Linked DNA regions of Elephas maximus indicus. The protein of the gene in region 2 purifies or fractionates together with the protein of the main gene of each other region. This does not show direct contact. Links are inferred from orthologs where the notes say so. Each region holds a gene or a part of one and is shown on either strand. Other genes may lie near its edges. The genes, in order: SYTL4 and RAB27B.

The links.
Region 1: the proteins of RAB27B (region 2) and SYTL4 purify together in Homo sapiens (co-immunoprecipitation; 3 studies listed by BioGRID and IntAct, counting the BioPlex papers as one, with this or other methods). This does not show direct contact. The link is inferred for Elephas maximus indicus from reciprocal best matches to the Homo sapiens genes RAB27B and SYTL4.

The regions. Positions count from the first base shown.
Region 1 is NC_064846.1:57,576,820-57,592,084, forward strand, and holds the start of SYTL4 (synaptotagmin-like protein 4), read left to right. Parts: upstream 1-8,382; 5' UTR 8,383-8,511; intron 8,512-9,009; 5' UTR 9,010-9,093; intron 9,094-15,265. UniProt on the Homo sapiens protein: Modulates exocytosis of dense-core granules and secretion of hormones in the pancreas and the pituitary. Interacts with vesicles containing negatively charged phospholipids in a Ca(2+)-independent manner.
Region 2 is NC_064829.1:63,458,151-63,474,000, reverse strand, and holds the start of RAB27B (ras-related protein Rab-27B), read right to left. Parts: upstream 7,083-15,850; 5' UTR 6,797-7,082; intron 1-6,796. UniProt on the Homo sapiens protein: Small GTPase which cycles between active GTP-bound and inactive GDP-bound states. In its active state, binds to a variety of effector proteins to regulate homeostasis of late endocytic pathway, including endosomal positioning, maturation and secretion.

The DNA.
Region 1 (15,265 bases), on a different chromosome or scaffold from region 2:
GACATAATCACAATTGTTGCTATATTTGAGCCCATTGTTGCAGCCACTTTATCAATCCATCTTGTTGAGGGTCTTCTTCTTTTTCTCTGACTAATTTACCAAACATGATGTCCTTATCCAGGGACTGGTCCTTCCTGATAACATGTCCAAAGTATGCGAGACAAAGTCTCGCCATCCTCGCTTCTAAGGAACATTCTGGCTGTATTTCTTTGTTCTTCTGGCAATCGCTGGTATTTAATATTCTTCGCCAATACCATAATTCAAATGCATCAATTCTTCTTCAGTCCTCCTTATTCATTGTCCAGCTTTCGCATGCATATTAGGTGATTGAAAATACCATGGCTTGGATCAGGTGCACCTCGAGTGACATCCTTGCTTTTTAATATTTTAAAGAGGTCTTTTGCAGCAGATTTGCCCGATGCAATACATCGTTTGATTTCTTGACTGCTGCTTCCATGGGTGCTGATTGTGGATCCAAGTAAAATGAAATCATTGACAACATCAGTCTTTTCTCCGTTTATCATGATGTTGCTTATTGGTCCAGTTGTGAGGACTTTTGTTTATGTTGAGGTGTAATCCCTACTGAAGGCTGTGGTCTTTGATCTTCATCAGTAAGTGCTTCAAGTCCTCTTCACTTTCAGCAGGCAAGGTTGTGTCATCTGTGTATCACAGGTTGTTAATGAGTCTTCCTCCAATCCTGATGCTGTGTTCTTTTTCACATAGTCCAGCTTCTTGGATATTTGTTCAGCATACAGATTGAATAAGTATGGTGAAAGAATACAACCCTGATGCACACCTTTCCTGATTTTAAACCACACAGTATCACCTTGTTCTGTTTGAACAACTGCCTCTTGGTCTATGTACAGGTTCCTCATGAGTACAATTAAGTGTTCTGGAATTCCCATTCTTTGCAATGTTATCCATAATTTGTTATGATCCACACAGACAAATGCCTTCATACAGTCATTAAAACATCTTTATGGTATTCTCTGCTTTCAGTCAAGATCCATCTGACATCAGCAATGATATCCCTCATTCCACATCCTCTTCTGAATGTGGCTTGAATTTCTGGCAGTTCCTTGACAATGTGCCGCTGCAAGCATGTTTTTAATTATCTTCAGCAAAATTTTACTTGTGTGTGATATTAATGATATTGTTTGATAATTTCTACATTTGGTCGTATCACCTTTCTTTGGAATGGGCACAAATATGGATCTCTTCCAGTCAGTTGGCCAAGTAGCTGTCTTTCAAATTTCTTGGCATAGATGAGTGAGCGCTTCCAGCACTGGATCCATGTCTCAAAACATCTTAATTGGTATTCCATCAATTCCTGGAGCCTTGTTTTTCACTGATGTCTTCAGTGCAGCTTGGACTTCTTCCTTTAGTGCCATCTTTTCTTGATCACAAGCTACCTCCTGAAATGGTTGTACATCAACCCATTCTTTTTGGTATGGTGATTCTATGTATTCCTTCCATCTTCTTTTGATGCTTCCTGCATTGATCAACATTTTGCCCAGAGAATCCTTCAATATTGCAACTCAAGGCTTGAATTTTTTCTTTAGTTCTTTCAGCTTGAGAAATGCTGAGCGTGTTCTTCCCTTTTGGTTTTCTAACTCCAGTACTCTGCACATCTCATTATAACACTTTTCTTTGCGTTCTGGGGCCAAGCTTTGAAATCTTCTGTTCAGCTGTTTTACTTCATCATTTCTTCCTTTCGCTTCAGCTATTCGACATTTAAGAGCAGCTTTCAGAGTCTCTTCTGACATCCATTTTGGTCTTTTCTTTCTTTCCTGTTTTTTTAATGGCCTCTTGCTTTCTTCATGTACGATGTCTTCAATGTCATTCCATAACTTGCCTGGTCTTTGGTCATTAGTGTTCAACATACCAAATCTATTCTTGAGATGGTCTTAAAATTCAGGCAGGATATTCTCAAGGTAGTACTTTGGCTCTCTTGGTCTTGTTTTAATTTTCTTCAGCTTCAACTTGAACTTGCATATGAGCAATTGATGGTCCGTTTTGCAGTCAGCCCCTGGCCTTGTTCTGACTAATGGTATTGAGCTTCTCCATTGACTCTTTCCACAGATGTAGTTGATTTGATTCTTGTATATCACATCCAACCAGGTCCACATGTATAGTCACTGTTTATGTTGTTGGAAAAAAGTATTTCCAATGAATAGGTCATCGGTCTTGCAAAATTCTATCATGCAGTCTCCAGCATTGTTTCTATCACAAAAGCCATATTTTCCACTACTGGTTCTTGTTCTTTGTTTCCAGCTTTTGCATTCCAATCATCAGTAATTATCAATGCATCTTGATTGCATGTTTGGTCAATTTCAGACTGCAGAAGCTGGTAAAAATCTTTAATTTCTTCATCTTTGACATTAGTCATTGGTGGGTAAATTTGAATAAGAGTAGTATTAACTGGTTTTCCTTGTAAGCGTATGGACATTATCCTATCACTGACAACATTGTACTTCAGCATAGATCTTGAAATGTTCTTTTTGACAATGAATGCAACACCATTCCTCTTCGAATTGTCATTCCTTGCATAGTACAACATATGATGATTGTCTAATTCAAAATGACCAGTATCAGTCCATTTCAGGTCACTAATGCCTAGGATATCTATCTTTAAGCATTCCATTTCATTTTTGACAGCTTCCAACTTTCCTAGATTCATTCTTCGTGTGTTGCACGTTCCTATTGTTAATGAGTGTTTGCAGCTGTTTCTTCTCATTTGGAGTCATGCCACATCAGCAAATGAAGGTCCTGAAAGTGTGACTCCATCATTAAGGTAGACTCTAATATGATGAGGCAGCTCTTCCCTGGTCCTATTTTGAGTGCCTTCCAACCTGAGGGGCTATCTTCCAGCACTATATGAGACAATGTTCTGCTGCTATTCATAAAGTTTTCACTGGCCTATTTTTTTAGAAGTAAATCGCCAGGCCCTTCTTCCTAGTCTGTCTTAGTCTGGAAGCTCCACTGAAACCTGTCCTGTTAGAAATACCGGTGGCATAGCTTCCAGCATCACAGCAACATGCAAGCTAACACAGTACAACAAAATGATAGGTAAGTGATGGGCATTATTCATGATAGCCAAAATGTTGACACAACCAAAATATCCATGAACTGATGAATGTATACACAAAATATGGCATATCCATAAACGAGTATTATTTAGTCACAAAAATGAAAAAAAAAGTAACATCACGAAAAATGGCAGAGTAGGGAACTTCAAAGAAACCCTGGTGGTGTAGTGGTTAAGCCCTTGGCTGGTAACCAAAAGGTCGGGGGTTTGAATCCACCAGTAGCTCTGTGGGAGAAAGGTTTTGCAGTCTGCTTCCATAAAGATTACAGTCTTGGAAACCCTATGGGGAAGTTCTCCTCTGTCCTATAGCGTAGCTATGAGTCGGAATCGACTTGATGGCAACAGGTTTTTTTTTTTTTTCTCCTCGAATGGCTGTCATTAGCTACTGGATAAAATACAAATTGTTTCAGATGACTCACAGGCCTCTGAAGATGTAGCCCCTGACGATCTTTCTAGCCTCAGCAATCATCACTTTTTTTGTTAAATTTTATTCTCTGGCTACACCTTATACATCCTTTGCATATACCAGTGTTTCTAGCCTTTTTCCTCTTGCTTATGCTATTATTCTGCTTAGAATGCCTTTCCTCCTTTTTGTCCTAGCTAATTTCTAATCATCCTTCCAGATTTAGAGAAGCATCCTCTTGCAGAGACCCTTCACTGACCCACCAGACTGCCATAAGTGGTCATCCTAGGTGCGCCCACACAGTCTGTGCATCTCTCTAGCTTTGCACTTCCCACAAGGTTCTGTAATTTTATGTTTGTGGTTTTCCTCCACCCCCATAAACTGTGAGCTCCTTGAGGACAAGGATCACCAAAAGCCCAGTGCCTAGTACCATATACTTTGTACTAGTAGATGCTCAATACCTATCTTTGAATGAGTGACCTTTTTTCAGTGTTTGTTCATCTTCTATCACATCTTCTTCTTATTAAAAAAAAAAAGAAAAACAAGCCCATTGCCATCAAGTTTGTTCTGACTCATAGCAACCCTATAGGACAGAGTAGAACTACCCCATAGGGTTTCTAAGGAGTGGCTGGTGTATTCGAACTTCTGACCTTTTGGTTAGCAGCCAAGCTCTTAACCACTGTGCCACCAGGGGTCCTCTTCCTCCTACAGCGACTCTACCCAATAGATGCCAGGAGCAACACCCCCAGCACTCCCAGTTGTGACAACCAAAAACATTTCCAGACATTTGGTATTGCCAAATGTCCTGGATTAAGAACCACTGGTCAAGATATACTAAGCATTCATTATATGCAAAGCATTTTAGTAGGTGCTCTTCCTATAGCACCTACTAAAATGCTTTGCATATAACAGGACTGGGCAGTGTTTTGTTCTGTTGTGCATAGGGTCACTGTGGGTCAAAACCAACTTGACAGCACCTAACAAGTATATCTTGACCAATGATTCTTAATCCAGGATACTTGGAAATATCTGGAGACATTTTTGTTTGTCACAACTGGGAGTGCTGGGAGTGTTGCTACTGTCATCCAGTGGGTAAAGGCCAAGGATTGTGCTAAACATCCCATGATGCACAGGACACAGCCCCCACAATAATGATTTGGTTTAAAATGTCAATAGTGCAGAGGTTGAGAAATTGTGATTTTGACTGACTGAGAGACTGAATCTACTTTTTACATCCTGTACTCACTGTAGATCACTAGTGCACTAAATTTGCTTTGTGAGGAAACCTGCTTTTATTTTTGTTTTGTTTTTACAAAAGCAAACTTACCTAACATGAGGTAAAGAGGGAGGGCCCCTGTATCTGGGATTTAAGACTTTGTCAATTAAAAAAGTATCTGATCAACAGAAAAACAGTTACATAAATTGCAATATGTTTATGCCCTGGAATGGTCTACAGCAGTGAAAATGAATAAATTAGAACTACATATATCAACATGGATAAATCTCATAAGCATAACGCTGAGTGAAAAAAGCAAATATCAGAAGCTACATACTATTTATATAAAGTGTTTAAAAACTACATTTTTTTTTTTACTTAGTGATAGACAAATATGTAGTAAATGTATAAAGACATGCATGGAAATGATGAAGGCCAGATCTGGGATGGTGAAAGCCTCAGATGGAGGATGCAAGAGGCTTAAATTGTATTGATATTGCCTTGTTTCTTAAGCTGGGTAGTGAGCGTGTCCTTGTTATAGTATTCTTTATAGATCCATGTATTTTTTGAAATAGTTAACACTTTTTTTTTTTTAAAAAAGTAATTGTTCAATAATGAGGCATCTTGTCAGCTAGGGCTGTGGAAAATCTCCGTCTTATTAGTTTGCACTAGCTAGAACTCCTTCAACGTGGCAAAATCGAACAACTCATTGAAACCAATCATTCACTATGGAACAGGAGTTTACATACTATACATAAGATGATAATCCATAAATTCCTGCTTACATTTTTGTACAAGGTAGTACCTGAGTTTGGTCACATTGGATCCCTCACAATATTTAGTATAAGAATTTGAGCATAGAATCCTTGTGACAGAGGAGGAGGATCAAACTGGGCAACAGTATGCAGAGCACAGAATGCATGTAAACCAGCCATTTCCTAACTTTGTTTTGGTTCATTGTTTCTGTTTGTCTCTCTCTGTGTATTTGTAACTGAGTCAGTGAGATTGTCTTAGAGAAGAGGCCAACCTTGGAGAGTGGGACACTGCATATGTAGAAAGAAGTAAAAGCTTAAAATAATATCTGGAAATTTTGCAATTTGCTGAGGAATAAGGAGGTTGGACTACGTGTTTTCTGAAGTCCCTTCTGGTTGAGGGTGTTACCAGCTTCCCTCAAGCACCCCAGGTGAAGTAGGAACAGAGAAATGCTTGGTCTGAGTTCCCACAGCCCAGGGCAAGACAAGAGCCTGGAACTTCCTCCCCTCCTTCCCGGTTTGGGACATGGAACACATTAAAAGCCCAGGGCTGAGCAAATGGGCCCCAAGGGCTGAATTGGCAAAACTAGACAGACAAAAAAAAAAAAAAAGGATTTGCTTTTTGAAATGGCTCTTCTACACTTCAGGCTGGGGGCAGGGAATTGAAGGGCTAAAGTAGGGAAGAGAACTCCAGGTAGAGCCTGGGAGTGGAATTCTACTCTTTAGTCTTTTAAAAATTAAAAATTTTCTTTTCTTTCTCTTTATAATATTAAAAAAATTATTTTTTCATATTATCAAAGCCATACAAGCTCATTATAAAAAACTTGAAAAATATATAGAAGCAGGAGGAAAACTAAAAATTCATTCAATTCCACCACCTAGAGACAGCCACTGTTAATATTTTGGCATATTTCCTACTAGTCTTTTTTTCTATGCATATCATCTTCCTCATTTTTGTTAATTGTTGTGATCATCTTATATATTAAATTTTGTATCTTACTTTCAATTAATATTATAGTATATGCATTTCCCTGTCATTGTGCACTATGTATAAAATGAGTTGTTTTTTTTTTTTGCTATATAGTATTGCGCTGTATGAAAATACTGTAATTAACTTAACTATTAAACCATTGGAGCCCTGGTGGCGTAGTGGTTAAGAGCTTTGGATGCTACCCAAAAGGTCGGCAGTTCAAATCCACCAGCTGCTCCTTGGAAACCCTATGGGGCAGTTCTACTCTGTCCTATAGGGTCGCTATGAGTTGGAATCAACTCCACAGCAATGGGTAGGTAGGTATTAAACCCTTAGGTTTTTTCCTAGTATTTTATTATTCTAAGGAATGCTGGGATTAACATCATTGTACAAAAATCTTGTGTACGTCTCTGTTTCCTTGGGACACATTCATTCATTCATTAAACAAATATTTATTGAGGGCCTACTATGAGCCAGGTAGTATACTAGCTGTCAGGTTTCGGCCTTGAGTGGCATGTTTTCATTAAGTGAGATAGCAAACGTCGGAGAAAGAGCAAATATAATAGAGAAGATGGTGGATTCAGTTTTGGATGTATTGACTTTGAGGTGCCTGCAAGACATCCAAGTGGAGGTGTCAAGAAAGCAGAGGTCAGTGAAGAGGTCTATGTAGAACAATATGATTACAGCTGTGGCCGTGTATATATTAATTAAAGCTAAGTGAGTGAAAAGATCATTTAGGGAGAGAGTATATGTAGCCTGAGAACCTCCAACTTTTAGAGGTCAGATAGCAGAAGTGGAACCTACAAAGGAGACTGAGGAGGGGACAAAGGGGTAGGACGTAAGGCAAAGGCGTATGGGGTCATAGATGCTACAGGAAGAGTTTCAAGGAGGAGGGAATGGTTAACAGTGTTAAATGCCATGGAGAGGTCAGCAAGACAAGGCCTGAAAGTACCCTATTGGTTGGATATCTTTTGCTGCACAGTTTCAGCAGAGTGTTGGGGAAGGAAGCCAGATTGCTGAGGGTTGAGAAATGAATGAGAAGGGAATGGAAATAGCAAATGTACCTGTAAAGTACATTTTCAATAAATTTGCGTATGAAAAGGAGCTGGAGAGTAGGAAGGATATTTTATTTTTTAAGATGGCAGAGACTTGAACACTGTGTAATTGCTGATGACAGATGAGAGAGACTTGAGCATTTAAGTGACTTAAGAGAGGGAAGGATGGAGGAGAGGAGATAGGGAGGGAGAGGAGGAGAATGAGAGAGAGAGAGTGAAATCTACAATTACTGGGTAGATAGGAACATTTTAAAGTCTACTGATATATATTGCTCCCGTGCTTTATTTTCTAAGTTTTTTTTTACTAACCTACACTCCAACCAGCAAGTATGAGAGACCTTGTTTGGTGGCCACTTTGTCATCATTAAGTGTTAAAATAGCAATAATATAAACCTTTGCCAAAGAATCTCATTTTTGTTCTTATTTGATTACTAGTGAGTTTAATATTTTAACCAGTTGTGTCCGTGTGTGTGAGTGTGAATTTCGTCTATGTTCTTTGCCCAACACGTTTGTATTTTAACCACTGTTACTTACCATAAAAGGCCGAAAGTCAAAGGATCAGAATGGTGTCACATTTTATCCTCCCGAATTATATAGTCCAGAGTCTTCGTATTCTTGGAAGTACGCGACAATTTGACAACTTTGGCTCAGCTGAGCGGAAGAGGTAGATGATTTTACCATCTAAGAAAGTGATCACAGATGTCTAATCTTAGACCCCTGTCCTCAGTCTCAAGGTCTTTTTTCCTAGCCTGGGAGGACACACTCTACAAGTGTCTTAAGACTCTGGCTCCCCAAGCTCCCCTTTAGGGGAGCGGTCCCCTACTTAGGAGCCCGGAGCGCTGTGCGGCCCCTTTAAGAGTGCAGCTCCTCCCCGCTCCAGGGAAAGTTGCAGCTTTTTCCGCCTCCCTGGAGGGTGAGAAGGGCCGGCCGCAAGAGCGGGGTGGCAATCTTCCAGGAGCTGGAGACCCTCCCCTGAATCCAGCACTGGGACGTCTCGCCTTCTCGCGGCACCTGTTGCAGGTGACAGGTAGGTCCGCAGCCAGCGGCCCTGAGCCCTCGGTCCGGTGCTCCTTCTGGGCCCCCAGCCCCTATTCGCTGCCAAAGCGTCCCCCCACCCCCATCTCAGGGACCTGCGTCCTTCCCTATCCCCCTTTGCTTCTCCCTGTCTATACTTGCCCCTAGCAGACCGCCTGTCTCCTCTCCCCTGTCCGCCCCTCCGGACCGCTCCCCCCACACGTTGAGTCCGATCTGCTTGGGGCGATCCCCTCCCACGAGTTTTTTTTTTTTCTCCCAGGCCTGTTCTGGTCCCCTTCCCCTGGCCCACCCGTCGCTAACGCGTGCTGTTGCCCTCTGGGCTCTGCCTCCTGGGGGTCTCCGCTCCCACCGAGTGTCCCAGCTTTTCCCGCCCGCCGGAGCCGGTGCCCCTCCCGCAAGCAAGCCTTAGGGGCGGGGGTAGGGCTGAGCTCCTAGCGGGAGCGGCGCCCTCGGAGGCGTCGAGTCACCCTTCCGTCGGTTCCTCCCGCAGCGCTCGGCCGTCTCTGCCCTACCCTGACTCCGGACCGCGGACCTCGCGGCGTCGGCTGCCCTCGCCTCGGCTTGTCCTCCGCAGGTAAAGGCTGGAGGCCAGTTGGCCCCGAGTCCTGCCTTAGTGGGCTCCCTCTGCGCTTGGGGCTGGGGACCCGGGCTGTGTGCTCTGGAGCCCAAGTGCTTTATCTTGCCAATCTTCAAGCAGGTTTCAGGAGTTTGCTCCTGGAGAAACGTTCCAGAGCCCTCAGAGTGGGACACAGAACGTTTCTGTCTCCTGTGATGGTTTGTAATGGGGCAGAAAAGGTGTTCCTCCAGTCCTTCACTTTGAATGAGATGGTTGGGAGTTTTTTGGTGGTGAAATCATTTGGTTTGAACGCTGGTGGCTTAAAAAGGCACCTGCTTTTCATTAACCAACCTTTTCTTTTTCTCCCTGCTTCTTCTGGACCAGAGGACCTAGCATTCCAGAATACTGCTTTTGGCAGGGTTGACCCTAGACCTTGTACATTTGTGGCAGAACTTAGTCTTCAGTATATCCTGGATCTCCTATATTTAACTGGCTTCTTTTCTGCTCTTGCACCCCTCACAAATCCATTAACATTAAGGCATTAATGATCTAATTTGTTTACCCCGATGATCTGTGGCTAGAGCAATGTTTAATGCAGAGGTGAGGCCCAGATGCAGTGTATGTAGATCTATAAGTACATGTATTTAGCACCAGCTGGAAATCTTAGTATATAAAAAAAAAAAAACACCAACTTGGCTTGTGAGGCTTTTCTTGGGCAGAGGATGAACATTTCTGGTAATACCATTTCAGGTGCCTCACTCCAGAACAGATGAGTGAAATGGAGGTTAGATGCCTCTTCTGGAGTAATTGGTCTGTGAGTGTATGTAGCATTCTGGTGAATGTTCTCTGAGTTTTTTCTCCTTAAAGGCTGTTACTAATAATGGTTGTTAGAATTCATTGAGCCAGGCACTGTGATAAGTTCTTTACATAACTATCTCATATAATCCTCAAGATAACTCTATGTGGTAGGCACTATAATTATAACCATATTATGATGAAAAGAAGACTCTGAGAGCTTGAGTACCTTGCCCCAAATCACCCAGCTGATGAGGGGCTGAGCTGGGCCATCTGACCACAGAGTTTGTGTTCCTATCCTCTGTCATACCACCTCTACCATCTTAGATGTTAGGAATGCTAATAGCTCGTGGGTGAAGACTGTGACTAAAAATTTTCCTTCCACACTGAAGCATAAATTTTGGTCCTTAACTTACCTTAGATACACTGTGGTGATTCTGGACCACTTATTTCACTGATTTATTTACCCACCTTGCTCCAAATGTGGGACCACTTGTCATGTTGCCACCATAAGCACACACCCCTGAGTGTACCCAGATGAATGAAACCTCCCAGGCTCTCAGCTCAGTAGTGATTGTCCTGAAGATAGGAGAAGGTAACCCTGGATTCTAGGGATGTGCTCCTGGATCAACATTTTCCTTTCCTGCTGGCGAGGGGAGAAACAAGGGTGCGGTAGGTGATAAGAACTTCCCAACAGCCAGGCCAGAGAGCCTGAGGGAGACTGTGTGCTTGTTTTATCCTGGGATGAATAGGTTACCTTAGGCAGGGAGCCCTGGTCCTGGTGCAGTGGTTAAGAGCTGTGGCTGATAACCAAAAGGTTGGTAGTTTGAATCCATCAGCTGCTCCTTGGAAACCCTATGGGCCAGTTCTACTCTGTCCTATAGGATCCGTCTATGAGTCAGAATCGACTTGATGGGTATGGTTAAAAAAAAAAAGCAGGGATAATATGATCCCATCTCTGGGTCTTTGCTCACATTGTTCCTTTTTTTTTTCTTCTTCCTGAAAAGCTAGCACGCCACCCCTTACTTACACCCAGTCATTAATTTGTATTCATCTCTCAAGATTTAGCTTCTCTGGAGGTTAGGGTTAGGCTTATCTAAAGTCACCTCCTTTGATACAATTTCACTGAACACCCAGGCAGAATTACTAGTTATGTCCTTCATGGTTCATGGTATATATGGTGTATCACCCACTTTTTCCGGCTTTCAGGTTCTTTGGTTGTATACTTTTACTGCTAAAAGTATTTGCTGCCCTCCAGTGGGGACTTGCATAATGGAGAAAGATGAAAGAAATGTTAGTTGAAGCAAAATAGCTGGGGTATGAGGCTTCTGAGTTAGGTAGTGCAATCAGGAAGTATGATTGGGTAAAAATTTTATCCCTTTTGGCTTTTGTACCCCTAGATAAGCCTTGTAAAAATTTTTATGGTTTCCTGTGTGATAGGGAGCCCTGATGGGTTTTGGTTTTTTTTTTTTTTGCTTGTGTGTGTGTCATATTTGGAAAACCGGAAACCCTGGTGTCATAGTGGTTAGGTGCTACAACTGCTAACCAAAGGGTTGGTAGTTCAAATCCACCAAAAATGTAAACACACTCCACGACTCAACATGGAGCCCTGGTGGCACAGTGGTTAAGAGCTCAGGCTGCTAACCAAAAGGTCAGCAGTTCGAATCCACCAGCCACTCCATGGAAACCATATGGGGCAGTTCTCCTCTGTCCTGTATGGTCACTATGAGTCAGAACCAAGTAGCCAGCAACAGGTTTGGTTTTTTGTTTTATGACTCAGCATGCTTCCATTAATGAAAACACATGGTATCAAAAAAACAGAAAGTAATTGGACCTTGAAAGGGTTTTTCTGTGTCCTAAAGCACTTTGTTTACACCTCAGTGGAGTCCTTAACACCTCTCCTAGTTGTTTTTTCACCTGAAAGGTTGTTACTTCTTTAAGGGCAAGGTCTGGATCTCAGAGCTCAATTTGTCCTAAGCACAAGGGATTAACAAATGTTTGTGCTAGGAACTGGGGACACAGTGCCCTAAAGGACCTGAGATCTGGTAAACTACAAAAGACACCTTCCTGAGGCACTTAAAATCCTGCAGCTAAGCGTTTGTACTTAAATGTCACCTTCTCAGTGAGACCTTTGCTGTTTTTAAAATTGCAACCCCTTCCGTGAACATTCGAGATCTCCCTTCCCTACCTTATTACTCTAATGTAGCATACTGTGTGTATTTTATTCATTTTTCTTATTGTCTGTCTCCTCCCACTATCACATAAACTTCATGTGGGCAGGGATTTCTGTCTGTTTTATTCACTGGTAGATCCCAGCACCCAGAAGACAGCCTGACACATCATAAAAAAAAAATTTTCTTTAGGTACTTACTAATATTTGTTAAATGAATTAATGAATGACATTACTGTTATATGAATTGGCACTCTTTTGTACTCTCCTGGACCTGAAACTAAGCTTACCCAGTTTATCGCCCTACAGCTGTGAGGGTACCCCACACCCAGTTCTCACATAGCTTTCCTTCTGTTGAGTTTTACTTTGAGATTGCATTCCTGATGACCACTTTGACCTAGTTGGCAGCGCTTCCTCTCTCCTATTTTAAAGCATAGGTCTCTGGTGGAAACTTCGAAAAGTGAAAATGCTGTGCTTCTCGACTCAACGGCACTGGGTCTTGTTGGTAGGAAGGGGTCTGTGCTGAAGCGGGCAGTGTGGATTATCAGATGTCTTGAGGCCTTTCACAGGCATTTGGTTTCTCAGTAGGATGCTGGAGAAAAGTTACTGTGTGGTCTGGGAAGTGAATAGCTGAAAAGACTCTAAAAACCAAAAAACCAAGACCGTTGCCTTTGAGTCGATTTTAACTCACAGTGACCCCAAGTGTTATAGAATAACATTGCTCCGTAGGGTTTTCTTGTCTGTCATCTTTACAGAAGCAGATTGCCAGGCCTTTCTTCCATGGCACTGCTGGGTGGGTTTGAGCTACCAATCTTTTGGTTAGCAGACATCACAAACTACTTGTGCCACCCAGGGACCTTATAAGATGCCACAGATTAGGTTTCTTGCCTCCCAATAAAGTCACTCTTACACCTTTAGGCATGAAGTGGTTATTGGGTTATGAACTTTACAGAAAAGCCATAGCTGAATGAATGCTACTTGTTTAGTTTGACAGTTTTTGTACTAGGATAATTACGCCGTGTGAGGAAACTACTAAGTAACATAAAAGAAAAAAAAATTACTCTTTTCTGTTTAAATGTTTTTAAATATTCAGAAAGAAAAAAGGCCCCAAACCAAACCAAACCAAACCAGCTGCTGTGGAGTTGATTCTGACTCATGGTGACCTCATGTGTGTCAGAGTAGAACTGCACTCTATAGGCTGTGTGTGTGTGTGTGTGTGCGCGCGTGTGCGTGCACGCGCGCACCTGCACTTTAGGTGAAAGTTTACAGAGCAAATTAGTTTCTCACTCAAAAAATTTATACACAAATTCTTTCGTGACATTGGTTGACATCTCCACAGTGTGTCAGCACTCTCCCCCTTTCTACCCCGGGTTCCCTGTTTCCATTTGTCCAGTTTTCGTGTCCCTTCCTGCCATCTCATCTTTGCTTTTGGGCAGGTGTTGTCCGTTTGGTTTCATAGACTTGATTGATCTAAGGAGCACGTTCCTCACCTGTGTTATTGTTTGTTTTCTAGGCCTCTCTAATCTTTGACAGAAAGGTGAACTCTGGGAGTGGCTTCAGTTCTGAGTTAGAAGGGTGTCTGGGGTCCCTAGTCTCAGGGGTTCCTAGTCTCAGGGGTTCCTCCAGTCTCTCTCAGACCAGTAAATCGGGTCTTTTTTGTGAATTCTGTTGTACATTTTTCTCCCGCTTTGTCCGGACCCTTTATTGTGATCACAGTCAGAGCAGTTGATGGTGGTAGGCAGGTTCCATAGGGTTTTCAAGGCTGTGACCTTTTGGAAGCAGACCACCAGGCCTTTCTTCTGAGGCACCTCTGGGTGGGTTCAAACCACCAATCTTGAATGGTTAGTAGCTGAGCACTTAACCATTCATGCCACCCAGGGACTACCCCCCACCAAAAAAAAAAAAAAGAAAAAAACCAGGCCAGAATCCCTCAAAAGACAGGCTTGGAAGGAGTTGGACCCTTCCTAAGGTGGTAAATATATGATTCTCCACCATTTGATAAACATTAATGTTTTTGAAATTTGAATTTGTTAAAAAACAAACAACAACAACAAAATTGTGCTTGGTTTCCTCTTCTGATAAATTTATCTCCCAAATTTGTTTAAAAAACAAACAACAACAACAAAATTCTGCTTAGTTTCGTCTTCTGATAAATTTTTCTCCTCTAAACATTGGAGTGACCCAGGGGTCTCAGTCTGTAGATTCTTCTCCATCCAAAATCTTCCCAGAGGATCTCATCCAGCTCCATGGCTTTAAATGATGTCTATCTATACACTGATCACTCCAAAATTTATGTCTCTAACCTAGGCCTTTTCTCTAAGTCCTAGACATATATCCAATAGCCTAGTCAGCATCTCTACTTGGATGCCAAATAGAGATCTCAAACATAATATAACTGAAACAGAACTCCTGATTCCCCCCCTGTCACTAGTCCCTCCCTTCATCCTCTCCCATCTCAGTGAAACGGCACTATCATCCATTCAGTTGCTCAGTCCAAGGACTGAGGGTCACCCTTGGTTTCTCTTATTCTCCCAACCCCACATCCAGTTCATCAGGAAGTGCTGTCAACATTATCTTCAAAATATATCATTTATTCTGCCACATGTCTCCATTTCCTCTGCATATCACCCACTCCAAGCAACCACAAGGCTGCAATGAACATTCTTGCACAGTGCTCAAGGATACACACACACACAAAAACACACACACACACACGTTTCTGTGGTATAGCTCCCTAGAAGGAGAAGTTCTCAGTGAAGGGATATGTACTTTTAAAAATTTGAGTAGGCACCGCCAGAGTGACACCCAAAAGAGTTTACACTCTCACCACTGAGAGTGCTTTCCCTCATATCCTTGCTGATGATGGACAGTCTTTTCAATTTTTGCCAACCTGATCGGTGAAAAATTGTATTTAACTGATTTACCCTTCATTTCTCTGACCATTAGTGAGGCTGAGCATCTTTTCATGTGTATTAGCTGTTTGTATTGTTCCTGAGACTTGCTCCTTCATATCCTTTGCACATTTTTCTTTTGGGTTATGTATTTAATTTGTTTGTAAGAACACTATATTTATTAGAGATGTTTACCTATTGCCTTTTCTATAGTACAAGTTTTTTTCTCTCTCTCTCCAGTCTGTCATGTGTCATAACTTTGTTCATGATGTGTACCCCTCTCATAATCAGATAAAACACACTATAAAACATTTAAAAAACATGATCATTAGAT
Region 2 (15,850 bases):
GTTACAAAGATGAATGAGATATAGTTCCTGCTCTTAAAGAACTTGGAATCTGGCAGTGCTCCGACAGAATAACATAAATGATATTGTATTCAGAAACTAAGAACCACAGGTATATTTAACGTTTCTCTCCAATTATTGTTATACTTTAATAATGGTAAATATATATAATTAGCTATATAACCTTACATTTCTAAGTCCTTCTAAGATTTAAATGTCATTATTAGCTCAAGCAGATCCGTAATGACAGAAAAGAAAGAAAATCACCAGTCCTTTCTTATGGTTACTACTTTTCCTCTTTCCAGTGCCTCCCTGGGAGATAGCACGTGGTCTCATGGATTTTAGAGATCACATTCCTGTTAGTATTTCCCAATCACTATTACCAGCCTGACCTCTCCTGGGAGGTTCAGATTCCTGAAGTTATTTTCCCGCTGAACATATTGGATTGGATTCCACAGGTACCTCAGATACACTATGTCCAAAAGTGAACACTTCCTTTTCCTCCCTCAACTTGCTCTGCCTTCTCTGTGCCAGATTTTAATTAATGAAACCACGATTCATCCATCTATTTCATCATTAAAGCCAGCAATTTAAACTTAATAAAAATTTCTCCTTTCCCCCAATAGCTGGTCAATACCCACCCTTATTAATTATTTTTCTAATCTGTCTTTTCTTCTCCAATCTTATAATCACTGAACTCATTTCAGATTTGTTTTATTTCCCGTTCCTAACTGATCTCTCCATTGTTTTAACCCCCTTAAATATATCTTCCACTTTGCCATCACAATACTGCATTCAATTCACCAACTTTAACCTTAAGAGGTTACACTAAAATTATCTGCTTATGTATTTCTCTACCTTACCAAATTCTAAGTTATTCAAGAGCAGGAACTATGTTTTATTCATCTTTACAACCACAGTACCAAGTGTGGTACTGACACATAGTTTGCATTTAATGATTTTTTTTTTAAATAAAAAAATCAGACAGAAAAATTATACCAGAGGTTAAATTGCAGTTATCACGTTTAACATTTTGAGAAGATCTTTTATTGTAAAACATAACATTGCCAACTTTAATACAACTCACATGGCATTTTCCCCCAAGTTTATGCTGATATACCATAGGCAGGATTTGTGCTCCCCCAAATGCCAATAAGCCTAGGATTTCTTATTTTTATCCTTTGAATTAAGTGACCCACATACCATGTTCCCTTCATTTGTGAGTTCACTCTCACCTTTATCTAGGAATTGCCTGCTTTGTAATCTCAAATGGAATGAATTATACCAAATACATAGACTCCTGGGAGAAGAGGGTGCTGATTTAAAGAAAGATCCAGAAGCAGTACTAATGAGTTTAAGCATTCTACTTTTGTTTGCTTGATTTTTATAATAATTAAATGAAATATTAAAATCTAAAGACATTTGGGGAGACGGTATATGCAAATTTCAAAATAAGTAGTACTTAATGATGGCCTCGGAAAGTGGAGAAATGGAAACCCGAAGTTGCTCATTTTATTTTATTACTACTATGCAGTCTTTGGAGTCCCTGGATGGTGCAAAAGGTTAACCTGCTCAGCTGCTAACCAAAAGTTTGGAGGGTGGAGGCGACCCAGAGGCACCTTGGAAGAAAAGCCTGGTGGTGTACTTCTGAAAAATCAGTCATTGAAAACCCTATGGAGTACAGTTCTACTCTGACACACATGTGGTCTCCATGAGTCAGAATCCACTCACTGGTAACCAGTTTTATGGAATCTACATCAACTAACACACCATTTCTAACTGAAGATTATAGGTTTTTCTCATAAAAAACAAACAAACAAAACCCATGGCCATCAATTCAATTCCAACTCAAAGCAATCCTACAGGACAGAGTAGCACCACCCCATAGAGTTTCCAAGTAGCAGCTGGTGGATTCCAACTGCTGTCCTTTTGGTTAGCAGCTGAGCTATTAACCACTGTGCCGCCAGGGCTCCTTTTCTCATATGATGGCCTATTTATCTAAGCCTGTTTCATTATGTTGTAACCCTTAGTTATAAATACCAGAATGTTTTCATTAAAGTGAAAGATATGTCTTGCAGAATTGTTTCTAATAGAGGCAGTTTACTTCAAAGCCCTGAGAGGTGGGGTTTGATGACGGACATTGCCAACCTTGGAAGATTATGATCAGTGATTGAACAGGAGTGGGCGTGGGACTGGGGTTATGAATAACAGTTTCTATGTAGTTAGTTGCGGTATATACAGTTTACTTAAGGAGTTAAAAAATTAGCAAATGGATTGCATTTCTCCTGCACTTCCCAGCATTTGGGAAAAAAACTTCAGAAAATCAGAGGCATACCACAGTCCAAGGAGGCACTTAGTCAATATATGGCAACTCTTGACATTGGAAAAGGTCTCTGCATTTTTTTTTTTTAAGCACTAGGAGATGCCTAGTTTTCCTTTCCCTCCTTGAAAAAAAACTAATTCTATTCTATATTTTTAATACGTCCACATGTCCAGAAATATTTATCAATAGTACATCGGGTTTATGAAAATCACATACGTTAAATAGTAAAAAACTGAGCTATTCTTTGAACAAACTACTCAGGCTCTGAGGACTTTACACAAGTTAGATCGGACAAATATAATACAAGCTTAAAATAATCTATTCCTTTTATTCTACACAGGAGAAGATCAAGGCCTTGAAGAGACTGAATGTCATACCCATAGCTGTACACTACTCAGCACTAGCAATATTTGATTGATGATAGACTTTCTAATGGTTTTTTTCAAATCCAACTAATTTTGACATCCTCCTCTGCAACATCCTTAAATGTTAAAATAAAGCAGAACTTGGTCCTCAGTGCTATACTTTTTTCTCTACCATCTCTCTAGGTGATAACCCTCAAGAGAGTGGCTCTAAATAGCATCCATAGGTGGTTGAATCTCAAATTCCTGTATTCGGCTCTGACTGACTCCTTCCGCGTGCTCCAGATTCATATATCCAAAAGCCCAAATTGGTATTTCCACTTGGATACCCAAAAAGACCTCAAGTAGATGGATATGAACTCCTAATTTCTCTTTAAGATCTGTTCCTCCCCTAGTTTAGTGTTTTTTTAGGAAATGGCTTTACCATCTACCTAGTTTGTTCAGCACAAAATCTAGTGATCATTTTGTTTCTTCTTTCTTTCATTTCCCACCCTTCATCCAATCTGTCAACACAGCTTGTCAGCTCTGCCTTCAAAGACTTTCCTAAATCTATCCATGTCCCTCCGTGACCACATTCCAGCTCTAATGTAAGCCACTGTCATCCCTGATCTACAGGAATAGCCTCCTCACTTGTCTCCCTATGTCCTTTTTGGATGCCCTACAATCCTTCTCTTCAAGGTTGCCTAAATGTCACCTTCTCTGAGACTTATCCTGACCACTGATCACACAGAGTCTCCCCAGATCACTCTCATTATCTTCCCCTTTATTGATTTTTTTTTTCCTTTTTAGCACTGAAACTTACAGAACTATTTATTTACTTATTTACTTATGTGTCTGTCTCCCCACACTAGAATGTAAGCTCCACGATTGCAGAAGCCTTGTGTGTTTGATTAACTTCTGGTGTCTACAGTGTTAAGGAGTCCTTGGGTGGTGCAGTTAACCCACTCGGCTGCTACCTGAAAGGTTGGCAATTCAAGTCTACCCAGAGACACCTTGGAAGAAAGGCGTAGTGATCTCCTTCTGAAAAACCAGCCATTGAAAATCCTATGGAGCGTCATTCTCCTCTGACATGCAGGGGGTCACCATGAGGCAGAGTTGGCTTGACAAGCAACTGGTTATACACAGTGCTTAGAGAGTACCAAAGTTCACAGTGTGTTCAACAAGTATTTATTGAATGAATCTCTGACAGGCTGTATCCAAATCATAGTGTCCCCTCATTTCACTCAGAATAAAAATCAAAAGTCAGTACATTGCTGATGACCCTCAAAGCCCTCTGTGATCTGGTTCCATTACTCATCTGACTGAATGCCTTCCGCTCATTCCCTTTTCTCCATTTGTATGGGCTTCTTTCTGTTTGCTTGCTGTTCCTTCAGTCTGTAGTCCTCTTTGCCCTTACATCCACATGGCTCATTCCCTCACTTCCTTCTAATCAATACTCAACTATCACCTCAGTGAGGCTTCCCTGGACACCGTATCTAAAATTTCAAACAAATTTCTGCATTTCTCCTCTGCTTTTTGGCATTTACCTCTACTGTACCATAGATTTAGCTTGTTTGACTTGTTTACTCCCTATCTCCCAGGTAAAATGCAAGCTGAGGGCAGGGATTTTGTCTGTTTTATTCACATCTGCACACACAGTGTCTAAAATAGTGCTCCCGTCTCCTGTTGCTCGGCACTCAATAAGTATTTGTTCAAGAAATGAATAAGCAGTTTAATATATTATCTTTCTCAGTAAGTTGAGCGGTGGTTTAATTAAAAAGACTGAACTTACTGAAAAATTTTTGGCTAGTTTTTAAACAGGGTTTTATTCTCATTACTGATAACCAAGAGAAGCTTCCCTCATTTAAGGAGTATCCATGAGAGACGAGGGAAGGTTAATATTTGGAGAACATGAATAATGATCACAAAAGTTGTGAAATACATTAATACTCTCAACTCTATATAGGGTTTACAATAGTTTAGTTAATTATGGTTAGTGATGTTGTGACTTCCTGCTAATACCTAATAAAGCTAAGCTCCATATACGCCTACTAATGGGTGAAAAGTCATCCTCCTTTAACAGCCCTTATAAGCAAGTGGCATGCTCTTCATGTGAAACACCCAGGTTTGTGCTGTCTGCTTTGACTGCAATCATTTTCTTACATATCCCCATTATAATTACTTGCTTAAGAGCCAAAGTATTGGTTAACCTGCCAGATCCTTGATTCATGAAACTGGAGTAATTGTGTGCAGAGCTTTTATGTGAATAGTTGGTCTACATTTCACGGTCTACTGAACTGAAAAGCTAAGGAAATGAATCAGAAATTTCCAAGTGTGAAGGTGGGAAAAGAGCAGATTTCTGTTCTGAGCCACCTGGGGCTTTGGATCACTTCCACCTTTCCAGAAGAACAGTTAAATAAATGAAAAGCAATTCTGAAACCAGCAGATAGTTTTAGCATAGCATGGTGTGCCAAGGAGTTGAGAAGATAGATTACAGTAGAGTTACCTTCCTCATTAGGTCAAATATGTCTGTTCCAGACTGGCTGATGAGAAAGGAGAGCTGTGGTTTGCTTACATTTGACAGATTCCCTTTATCCCATCTTGGCAACTCTGAGAACAGGCTCATCCAGTTCCATGTGAAATGTTTTGTTTTCCTTTCAAAAGCAACGACGGTAATATTCTACGGTGTTCATAGTTCTTAAGCAGAGAAGCCTCATTAATATTACACTGTCAAAATTACCCCTTTTTGATCATCTGTAAGAATCCTCTTTTGCCTTCAAAAAGACCTAATCCCATCTGGGTAGAGGATTATGCTGGGAAACTAGGAAAAATAACTATTTGGGGGATGTGAGACAAGTATAGCTCTCACTTGGTAACTATGATTTGGACATTATAGTAGCTTGAGAATTCAGTGAACTTAAATACCTCGGGCCATAATGCTGAAGTCCAGCTTTTCTGTCAACTCTTCAAAGTTTAGCACTATAAAATCCTGCATATGACGACACATTTTTATTACTGAGTATGTGTATAGATAAATTTATATTTACATAAGTGTGTACATATGTGTACATAAGTATATATAAATAAACTTATATATGTAAGTGTACATATATAAGTGTATATATAAGATATATAAATAAATGTGTTCTTATATATAAGACCTTTAACTAGATGCCGTGAACAGTACATATTTTCCTTTTAAACAGAATTAAATCAATAGTTATGGCTATATTATATTAAATAACAATTCTGTTGCTAATAACTCAGAAATTTCATGTTATTAATTAGGGCTTAGTTTAATAATTTACCATTTAAAAAACTGGAATCTTATGCCCTTAATTTTAGCTCTTAAATAAAGAGCTGGTAAACATGCCACAGGTGTGATGACTTTAACCAAGCTCAGCTTTTCCCTTGGAATGCTTTCTCTGCTTTTACTAGTTACATTTCACCTGCTCTATTAGTTTTCAGGTGCTAAATCAGGTAATGTTTCCTTAGGTAGGAAAATCCTGGACACTAATTTATTACGATCGCTTGAACAGCGCGCGCACACACACACTGCAGCAGCAGCACCACTTAAACAGAACAAGAAGTAACAGAGCCAAAAATTGGAAAACAGAAATTCCTCTTGATTTCTCAGTGGCTATTTCACTTGAAGAAGTACAGAGAAATGCCCTAGCACGCACTTGCCTGACTTGCCTATGTCAGGTTTCTTTAAACACATTATTTTTGTTACTATTATTATTAGTAGTAGCGATATATTTATTACTACTATTACGTTTGGTTATTGGTTTTGAGATACAGATAGAAGGACATCAGCATTGCTGTGCCTAGTTTTTTGTCCCAACCAGCTGTTTGATAACGCAAATACCAAAACAAAGACAGCCGGCCAGAGTTTTCGGATGGCATCTGTGCAGCACACATCCTTGGGTCGTACGCGTGTATTTCTGCAGGAAACCGCAGGTCCACCGCGCTCCACCCGGAACCAGCCCGGTCCCAGGCACAGCCTGCAGTCGCGCCCCTTCTCCCAGGCCTGCTGCTCGCGTCCACGTCTCACTTCCCTTCGCAGGCAGCGCCGAGAGCTCCCTGGATGGGTGGGAACGCATTTCAGCAAGAACAGCCCGGTTTCCCTACTCACCAGCCAGCCTGCGAAGTTTTCTCGGCCGACACGGTTGGTGTCAGATTTCAGAGCGGCTCCCTGCCCCTCTCCCGAGGCCTTAAACTCCTGGGCTTCAACACCAGCAGCAGCACGGGACCTGCCTTTGCCAGGCGTCTATCATGGGGACAACTCCTGTATCTCCAACCTGGGACCCTGGATCTGTCCCCAGCCCTGCCCGGCAGGACGGCAAGTGGCGGGACATGTAGCACCACCCCTTGCAGCCGGCCTGAGACGCCGGGATCTGAAAGGTTTGTGTGAGAAGAAGGCGTGTCTCCCAGCCCCAACGCGGATGTGAGGAGCTCACCTCAGGCATGTCTTGCTGGTGACTCAACTGCTGGGATAACAAACACACTTGGCTTTTGGTGACATTCTCTGCGCTGTAGGGCTTCAAACCCTAGCAGTGAGTTCATCTTATTCAATTTATTTCTCTGGGTTTTTCTTCTACGTCTCTGACTCGAAGAGCCCCGGGCACTGGGAAGAGAACTGCTTCAGATGCATAATATCCTCTCAGAGGGGAATAGGTTCCCTTATCAACTAGAGAGAGCAAAGAATTGCAAGTGGAGGACAGAGAAGGGCCTGGGGAAAGAAAGGGGGAGCTGGAAAGAAATTCCCATTTTAAAAATCAGTTTTTACTCATACGTGTTGCCGTCAAGTCGATTCCAACTCATAGCGACCCTATAGGACAGAGTAGAACTGCCTCAGAGTTTCCACGGAGCACCTAGTGGATTCAAACTGCTGACCTTTGGTTAGCAGCCTTGCACTTAACCACTACACCACCAGGGTTTCCCGATGTGTTCATATATCTGTCAGTATCACCAGCCCTCCTTGCTTTCTAAAGTCAATTCAAGGATCAGAAGGATCCCTGGTGGTGCAACGGCTAAGCGCTCAGCTTAGGAAAATATGGAAGAAGTTCTTATTTTTTTGTATTTTTTTAAATAATATTTTATTGTGTTTAAGGTGAACATTTACACAGCATATTAGGTTCCCATTTAACAATTTCTACACAAATTATTCAGTGATCTTGGTTACATTTTTCACAGAGTGTCATCGCTATCAATCATACCATTTTGGTTGTACTATTTCCAGTACTCTAGTTTCCCTGCCCCCTTATGTTCTCATCTTTGCTTTAGAGTAATTTTTGATTATTTGGTCTCAATGTTCTTATCTTTAAAACAGGGGTAACAATAATGCCTCCACTGGGTCAATTTGAGTAAATGAGTTATCTAAGTAAAATGCATACAACAGTGCTTGGCACAATAAGCTCTATGTACATGTTGGCTATTATTATGTTGGTACACTTAATCTTCCCCACTCTTCGCTGATTCAGACCAATGCATTTAAAAAAAAAAAAGAAAGAAAATTCTGATCTACTAGGAGAACATATATGAGTTTCAGGTTGTAGATTTTCAAATTATACATGCTGTAATCAATATTTACGGTAAATCAGCTTTGCATCTATCAGCATATCCATATATGCAAGTGTGTGTGCCTGCAGATGTGGGTAGAACTAAAAGGAAGAACATAGCAATGTTGAATTTATTCTACTGTATGTATTGTTAATTTTAAAATGATTCTCTGGGCTATCTAATGATCATCTGTATTCTTTACCTAGTTTATGCCTTCACTTACTAACTTTAATCCCAATAGCTACTATTTCCTGTATATGATAGAGTTTATAAAGCCCTTGTCCATAGATCATCTCATTTGATTTTCACAACATTGCTTTGAAATAGGCAAGGTATCTATTATTTTTATTGTCCCCATTTTAAGAGTGAGGAAACTGAGGTTGAGGAAGTCCTAACAAATTGCCCAGAATCATGAAGTTCAGGAAAGGCAGAGCTCTGACCTGTTAGGTCCTAAATGTGGACCTCATGGTGGTTACCACATGGTACTGCCCCCCTATTATTTCTGGAAAAAGTTTCTGCCATGAGACAATCTAACACACTTTATGGTCCTCTCTCCTTGTCACTCTTCACCAGATTAGTGTATCAGCTGTCTCCTAGAATCAACTCTGGCAGGGACAGCTCTCCTGGAGTCACCCTTTCCACAGACAGTCCTGTATTTCAGGTTCGGAGGCTCAGATCCATTAGTGTTACCTAGTGATGCTCCCTGAGAGTGGAGGGACGTGTCCTCCCTGTGGGAAGAGGAGCTCCAAGGAGGAGAAGGCAGTGGGGGGACATGAGAAAAACGTTGTTTGCCCACTTCTCAAAAGTCACTTTGACCAGATGTAGAGTAGAATAGAAAGATACTAGAAAACCAGTGAAAGCAAGGTGACAGCATCACTTGTCATAATATAAAAGAGCTTCCTGTACCTGAGCTTATGTAGCACAAATTAAATAGACATCATCTATGTCTTCAACAGGATTATAATTCAGTAAACAGATATATAAATGTACCTAGGGAGATATCTAGTTAAAAATGGCAAATCAATCACACATGTTTTATCTCCTCTTCTCCAAACGCCTATAAAACAAGAGTAAATGAATTTTTAAATAGTTATTAACTCCTTGTTGTTATTAGGTGCCACCAAGAAGATTTTGACCTATAGTGACCACATGTGATAGAGTAGAACTCCTACGTAGGGTTTCCTAGGCTGTAAGCTTTATGGGAGCAGATCGCCAGGTCTTTCTCCTGGGAGCTGCTGGGTGGAATTGAGCTGCCAACCTTTTGGTTAGCAGCCAAGCGCTTAACCATTTGTGCCACCAGGGCTCCTTAACCTGTAAGGAGAAATAAGAGAGAGAGGAGACATCAACAGACACAACAGATGGCAATGGATTTGGGGAAGAACCTAAATCAGATGAAGGCCGTCACTGATTTGGAAGAAGAAGGAATTTACACTCTGCATGCTGGCTGGAAAGGTTAAGGATAAGAAGCCAGCTGATTCTCCCTGCCTAGCCCTGGAGGCCCAGGCCTAGGAGGCAGAGGTGGTGGGTGAAGACAGGGGTTTGGTTAGAAGTCTGTATAGAGTAATGCTGGGAGCCAAGTTCCCTTTCTCCATGCTATGCAATCTACTAACCATAAGCTCTCCATCTGCCCAACCTAGCTGCCAGGAGATCGAAGGTTTATTTTCTGGAGAAGATAAACTAGAGTAATTTGCAGTTCAACAAGATGAACTGGACATATGCATTCTTATCTCTGCTCCTACAAAACAGGAATAGAAAAGAAATTTATACACAAGAAAAACTTTTTGAAAGTTAAACTATACTCAAAAATTTCAAAATATGATTTAGAAGATTAAGTTGGAAAAGTCTTTAAGAAAGTTGAGTAAAAAGATATAGAAATAAAAAAATAGCTAATGAATAAAGCTTTTCTGACTAATTGAAATCTCAGAAAGTTCCAGGAAAGATTTTTTTTCCTATCCAGAAAAGATGGAAAAATTAATTAATTAAATGATGGAAAACAATTCCAGCAATGAAGGCCATGGACTATTAAGATCAATAGTTTCACCTAAAGTCTAGGGAAATAAATTTTAAATCAAATTATATACACCGAGGTAACTTGGAAGAAAGGCCTGGTAACCTACTTCCAAAAAATCAGCCATTGAAAACCCTATGGAACACAGTTCTACTCTGACACACATGAGGTCACTATGAGTTAAAATTGATTTTATGGCAACTGGTTAACACCCGGCACAGGTGTGGGTATAATTGAAATAATGGGGACACAGCAATTGAATTAAGCCTAAGCTATCATATAACCTCATGTGGAGGGTAGGGACAGACAAAGAGACAGCAAGAGAGTCTATGTACATATGTGTGTAAGGCAACCACTCCTCAAATATTTTAACAGAAAGTCAATAAATAATATGTAAAATTGCTAAATAAAGAAAAAGCAGAGTAAGCAAACCATTTAAAATATGGAAGTACAATAAGAAACCACTAGAAGAGTCAAAACATTTGCCTGTGGAGACTGAGACTGTGGCCTAGGAGGAGATCTGTTCTACTTTATAAGAACTTTAATACCATTTTACTTTTTTAAAAACTATGAGAATTTATTACCTTAATAAAAAATAAAATTAATATTCGCATAACCTTAAAATATAAGTAGAGAAACAAGACATTTGTTCAGTAGAGAAAACATTAAAATTAACATATTTGTATAATCAAACCAAAACCCATTGCCACGGAGTCGATTCCTATTCACAGCGACCCTATAGAACAGAGTAGAACCGGCCTATAGAGTTTCCAAGGAGCACCTGGTGGATTCAAATGGCTGACCTTTTGGCTAGCAGCTGTAGCTCTTAACCACTATGCCACCAGCGTTTCTCACACACTTGTATATTTTAATATGAACCAAACCAAACCCATTGCCATTTGGTTGATTCTGACTCATAGAGACTGTATAGAACAGGGTAGAACTGTCCCGTAGGGTTTCCGAGGAGTGCCTGGTGGGATTTGAACTGCTGAACTTTTGGTTAGCAGCCATAGCGCTTAACCACTATGCCACCAGGGTTTCCACATTTTAATATAATACTCTATAAATAGTGGAGAAAGTGAATTTGGGGTGGAGAATGTAGATAGATGTAAGGAGTTTGCACAATCATTTATTCATTCAACAAACATTTATGAAACAACTTGTGCCTTGAAATCTGTTAGTCACTGGGGATACAGCAGGGAACATGACACAAGGATACAAGATATTCCAAGAGAAAAATGAATATTTTTAAGCTTTAAACAACTATGTTTGGTTTCTTTTCTGTTTCCTCAGTGGTATGAGCCTTTGAATTTATATTTGGGTCAAAATAATGCCTTCCATACTCAAATCTTAAAAATTACTGTCTTCTCTCTTGACTTGAATCCCACGCTAATGAGATCAGAGGTTTCCTAACTAGGTCTTCTCCTGGGATTGCAGGGAAGGGTTTGCAGGAAGTCTTACATGGGTGTGCCTCCACTTACTTCAGTTCACGAGGAGTCTGTCTAATCACAAATGGAAATCAACCCCTCCCCAGTTTGAGGAAACCCCACAGTCTGACTAATATGTCACAAGACTAAACTCCCAGGTCATGCTAGTTTTCTTAGCCACTTTCAAAGATGTGACTTTAAGAAGTATATATGTTTACGTGACTTTCTACTAAGGAAATTGCTTCAAATACGTAACACGTCAAGACCTGTTTTAGGTATTAATTTATTAAACTGGACGTGTTCATTCAATTATATCTAGAGCATCTCTCCACTCTATGGTGAGGTCTTAACCTTCTCACTTCTAACCTTTTTGCTTCAGTTTCTTAGAATATGAAATGAAGATAAACGGGGGCCTTACACAGAGAGTGTTGTAACTTAGTCCAATTTTTTCTTCCAGGAAAAGCACAAATGCTCCCATGAGTAATGTTTGCCTATGGCCTTTATGCAAACCCTGCTTTAACAAGAAGCCACAGTAACATAGTGAGAGTATGCCATGATTCTGCCTATGAATGGCATTAGACCTCTTTATAAGAAAAAAAAATTCTCTAAGTATGATTACAGACAAAGTTACAATTATAAAATTGTTAAATTTCTCAAATTGATCAAGAGATGAAAATCCATATTAATAACAAAACTAAATGCATAGTAAAGTCATTATGGCATATGTGTACATACATACAAACACATTCATATACACACATACAGTCATGTATCAATATATATAATGGCATGTGTGAATATAAATATAGTCATATATAAGCACATGTGAAATATGTAATTATATTTGTTTTTTACTGCCTTTACAGTGAGATAGATACAAAATGAAATATCATATGTGCCTACCATATAAACAAAACATTAGTACATGGTGATTCCTTCATTATCTCAAAAGATGTTACCAAAAAACTGTATTCTTTGTTGACAACCTTTGCTGCTTTTTAACTGAAAAATAACCAACACTTCAAATAGTGATGTCACAGACTCAGAGGTAATTATTAAGTCTTTCTCAAATTGCCAGCCTTTCAACCAATTATCAGCTAATTTTTCCAGGCATCCAAACTAACAGTGAAGTAATTTCAGGCAAGTATGTCTTTCCCCACTAAATACTCTTTTGTTCAAAATAAAGTGCTATGTGAATGTCCCATTATATGAGAGATCTTGGAAGGATTCCAATATAAGAAAAGTATTTCTTTTTTGAGTTGTCATTTTGGGAAATGCTCTTGCATTATACTTGATCATATATGATATTAAAGATAAGTCACAAAAATAACAGCCAGGAAATGAAGGTTTAGTCATAGCAAACAGTTTCATACTACATGATTACTTTCAAAACTATATTTCTAAGAAATAGCAGGAGTGTCTAAGTAAGCTTATATGTGAAACATGGTATATTCTATTTTTGTCATTATACAGTAAATGTTCATAAGCCCATAATGAATTTCTATTGCATTTCTAATAAATATGTTTAAGTATTCTATTTTCAAACTGACAAGGAAATTCAAAACATTATTCTCAATTTTACTTTGCCATTTTTTTTCCGTGACCTATAGATATAGGGTCGCAATGAGTCAGAATCAACTCAATGGCAGTGGTGGGTTTTTAGACATTAAGGTATAAAAAAAAATGGCAAAGTAAACATGAGAACAATGTTTTGGATTTTCATGTCATTTTGGAAATAGAACACTTAAACATATTTATTAGAAATTCATTATGGGCTTATGAACCTATACCACACTGGTGAGAAAAAAAGAATATATACCATGTTTCATATAATTATAATGTAAGCTTACTTATTAAGATACTCCGAATATCAAGACACTCCTACTATTTCTCAGAACTTAAAATGTAGTTTTAAAAAATAATCCTGTAGAGTGAAGTATTTTTCACTCTACAGGATTAGTTTTTAAAACTACACTGAATAAGAAAAACAAAATTAATAAGGAAAACTAAAGAAGAATTGATGCCTTTAAATTACGCTATTGGCAAAGAATATTGAATGTACCATGAACTGCTAGAAGAAACGAAAAAATGTCTTGGAAGAAGTATAGCCAGAACACTCAGTAGAAGCAAGGGTGGCGAGACTTCATGTCACATACTTTAGACATATTATCAGGAGGAACCAGTCCCTGGAAAAGGACATCACGCTTAGTAAAGTAGAGGATCAGTGCAAGAGGAAGGCCCTCAATGAGATGGACTGACACAGTGGCTGCCACAATGGGCTCAAACATAACAATGATTTTGTGAATGGCACAGGACTGGGCAGTGTTTCATTCTGTTGTACATAGGGTTGTCAGAACCAACTTGATGGCACCTAACAACAACAACATAGATTAAGGGATAATGTGATAGAAAGGTGAAGTTGGAGAACCTGAAGCTATGCCTGCTAACTAAAAAAACATATATCCAACAGAATGGTCCATATCTGAAAGAACTGCATAGATTAGCGCCACCATTAAGAGCTTGAATCACACAAGGGTGGTGATTCCCGCCACATCTCCATAGACTGATTTCCTTGACCAGTGTAGAAGATGGATGGCTCTGCAAGCATGATAGTGAATACCTATGAGCTTAATCAGATGATAACTTCAGTTAATCCAATAGATACAGACCCTAATACTTGGTATATTTGAATAGGTGGCTCTAAGTCAATTACTGAGTTATCTACCAGGGTCTCCAACTGCTCCAGGTTTCAAAAAAGCACTTGTGCTTCTTGTACTTTATGGCCCAGGAGATTTATGATAAATGAAGTATTTGTAGCAGAGTAGGATGTCTTTCCTCAACTCATTAGTGGCAAAACTGAATTTGTAACAATCAGAAAAAAAGTGATCCAAACTTGGGTTTAATGACTGTGCCTTTAAGATCTTATAACACTGGCCATCACAATTTGAAATTTTCTTTCTTTTACTAAACTGCCAGTGTTTTTAAGATTCCTTAGCTTTTCCTGCTTGAGACTATCACTATAAAGATAAAACTATTATCCATTCTAAAAACTTCTCTTATAAACTTTGAAATAAAATATTCATTGTGTGTATATGTTGATATCTGTGTATATATGTGTATATTTCTTTTCCTATATCAAAAGTTAATACCTTCTTCATTTAATCTATTAAACCAGCAGAAATAAGAAAGTTTTTATCAAAATTGATTCCTTAAATGTCGTTGTTATGTAATTTGGAGTCAGAGAAACTCAAAATTTGCAAGGGAGCAATCTAGGTTAGTTTCCCAAACTCTTCTTCAAGGAACCCTACATCTGAGAGGCATTTATAATTTTGTATGTGTGTGAAAAGGGCTCCATGGTCAGACTACTTTGCCAAATGCTGCTTCTGCTACTACCTCTGAAAATCCACAATTAGCATTTAACACATTAAAATCTCTGTAATAATGAAACCACTTTGCCCTTATTTAGTCTGTCTCATCCAAAGTAATTTGAAAATAAAATTTCTTTACTCATAATACTCTTGCTTAACATCTCCTCAAATTATTGTTCTCAGAACATCTGTAACTTCATTTATTCTATGGATGAAGAAAAGTAATTGTGTATGACAAAACAGCCAACATGGCAACTCATGTCCTTACTACATTTCTGTGTGCCAAACACGACAACTCATATCCTCTATTCATTTCTATTTGCCAACCAATCGTCCGAATGTTACCTAGATTTTGAAGTCCCATTGAACATGGCATGTTTATTTCCTCTCCATCCCAAAAGTCCAACATATGAAAAGGAAGAAATTAGAAGGGCATTAACTCATAAAGGTGCCGTTGAGTTGATTCTAACTCAAAGTGACCCTATAGGAGAGAGTAGAACTGTCCCAAAGGATTTCCAAGTCTGTCATCTTTACGGAAGCACATTGCCATATCTTTCTTCCACAGAGTTCCTGGTGGGTTCAAACTGCTGACCTTTTGGTTAGCAGCCAAATGCTTGACCACTGCATCATCAGGGCTCCTTATGAAGACAATAGGAAGCAAAGAAGCAAAAAATATGAGAGATATTTTGCCTTTAGCAAACAGATGGAAGAGTGCTAACTGCCTGAGCAGAATGGAGGAAACTGACAGGAAGCCCCTGCACTGGGGGCACCAAGGAGAGTGAGCTGATTCACCCACAAACCCCCTGGAGAGGCCCAGTGTCCAG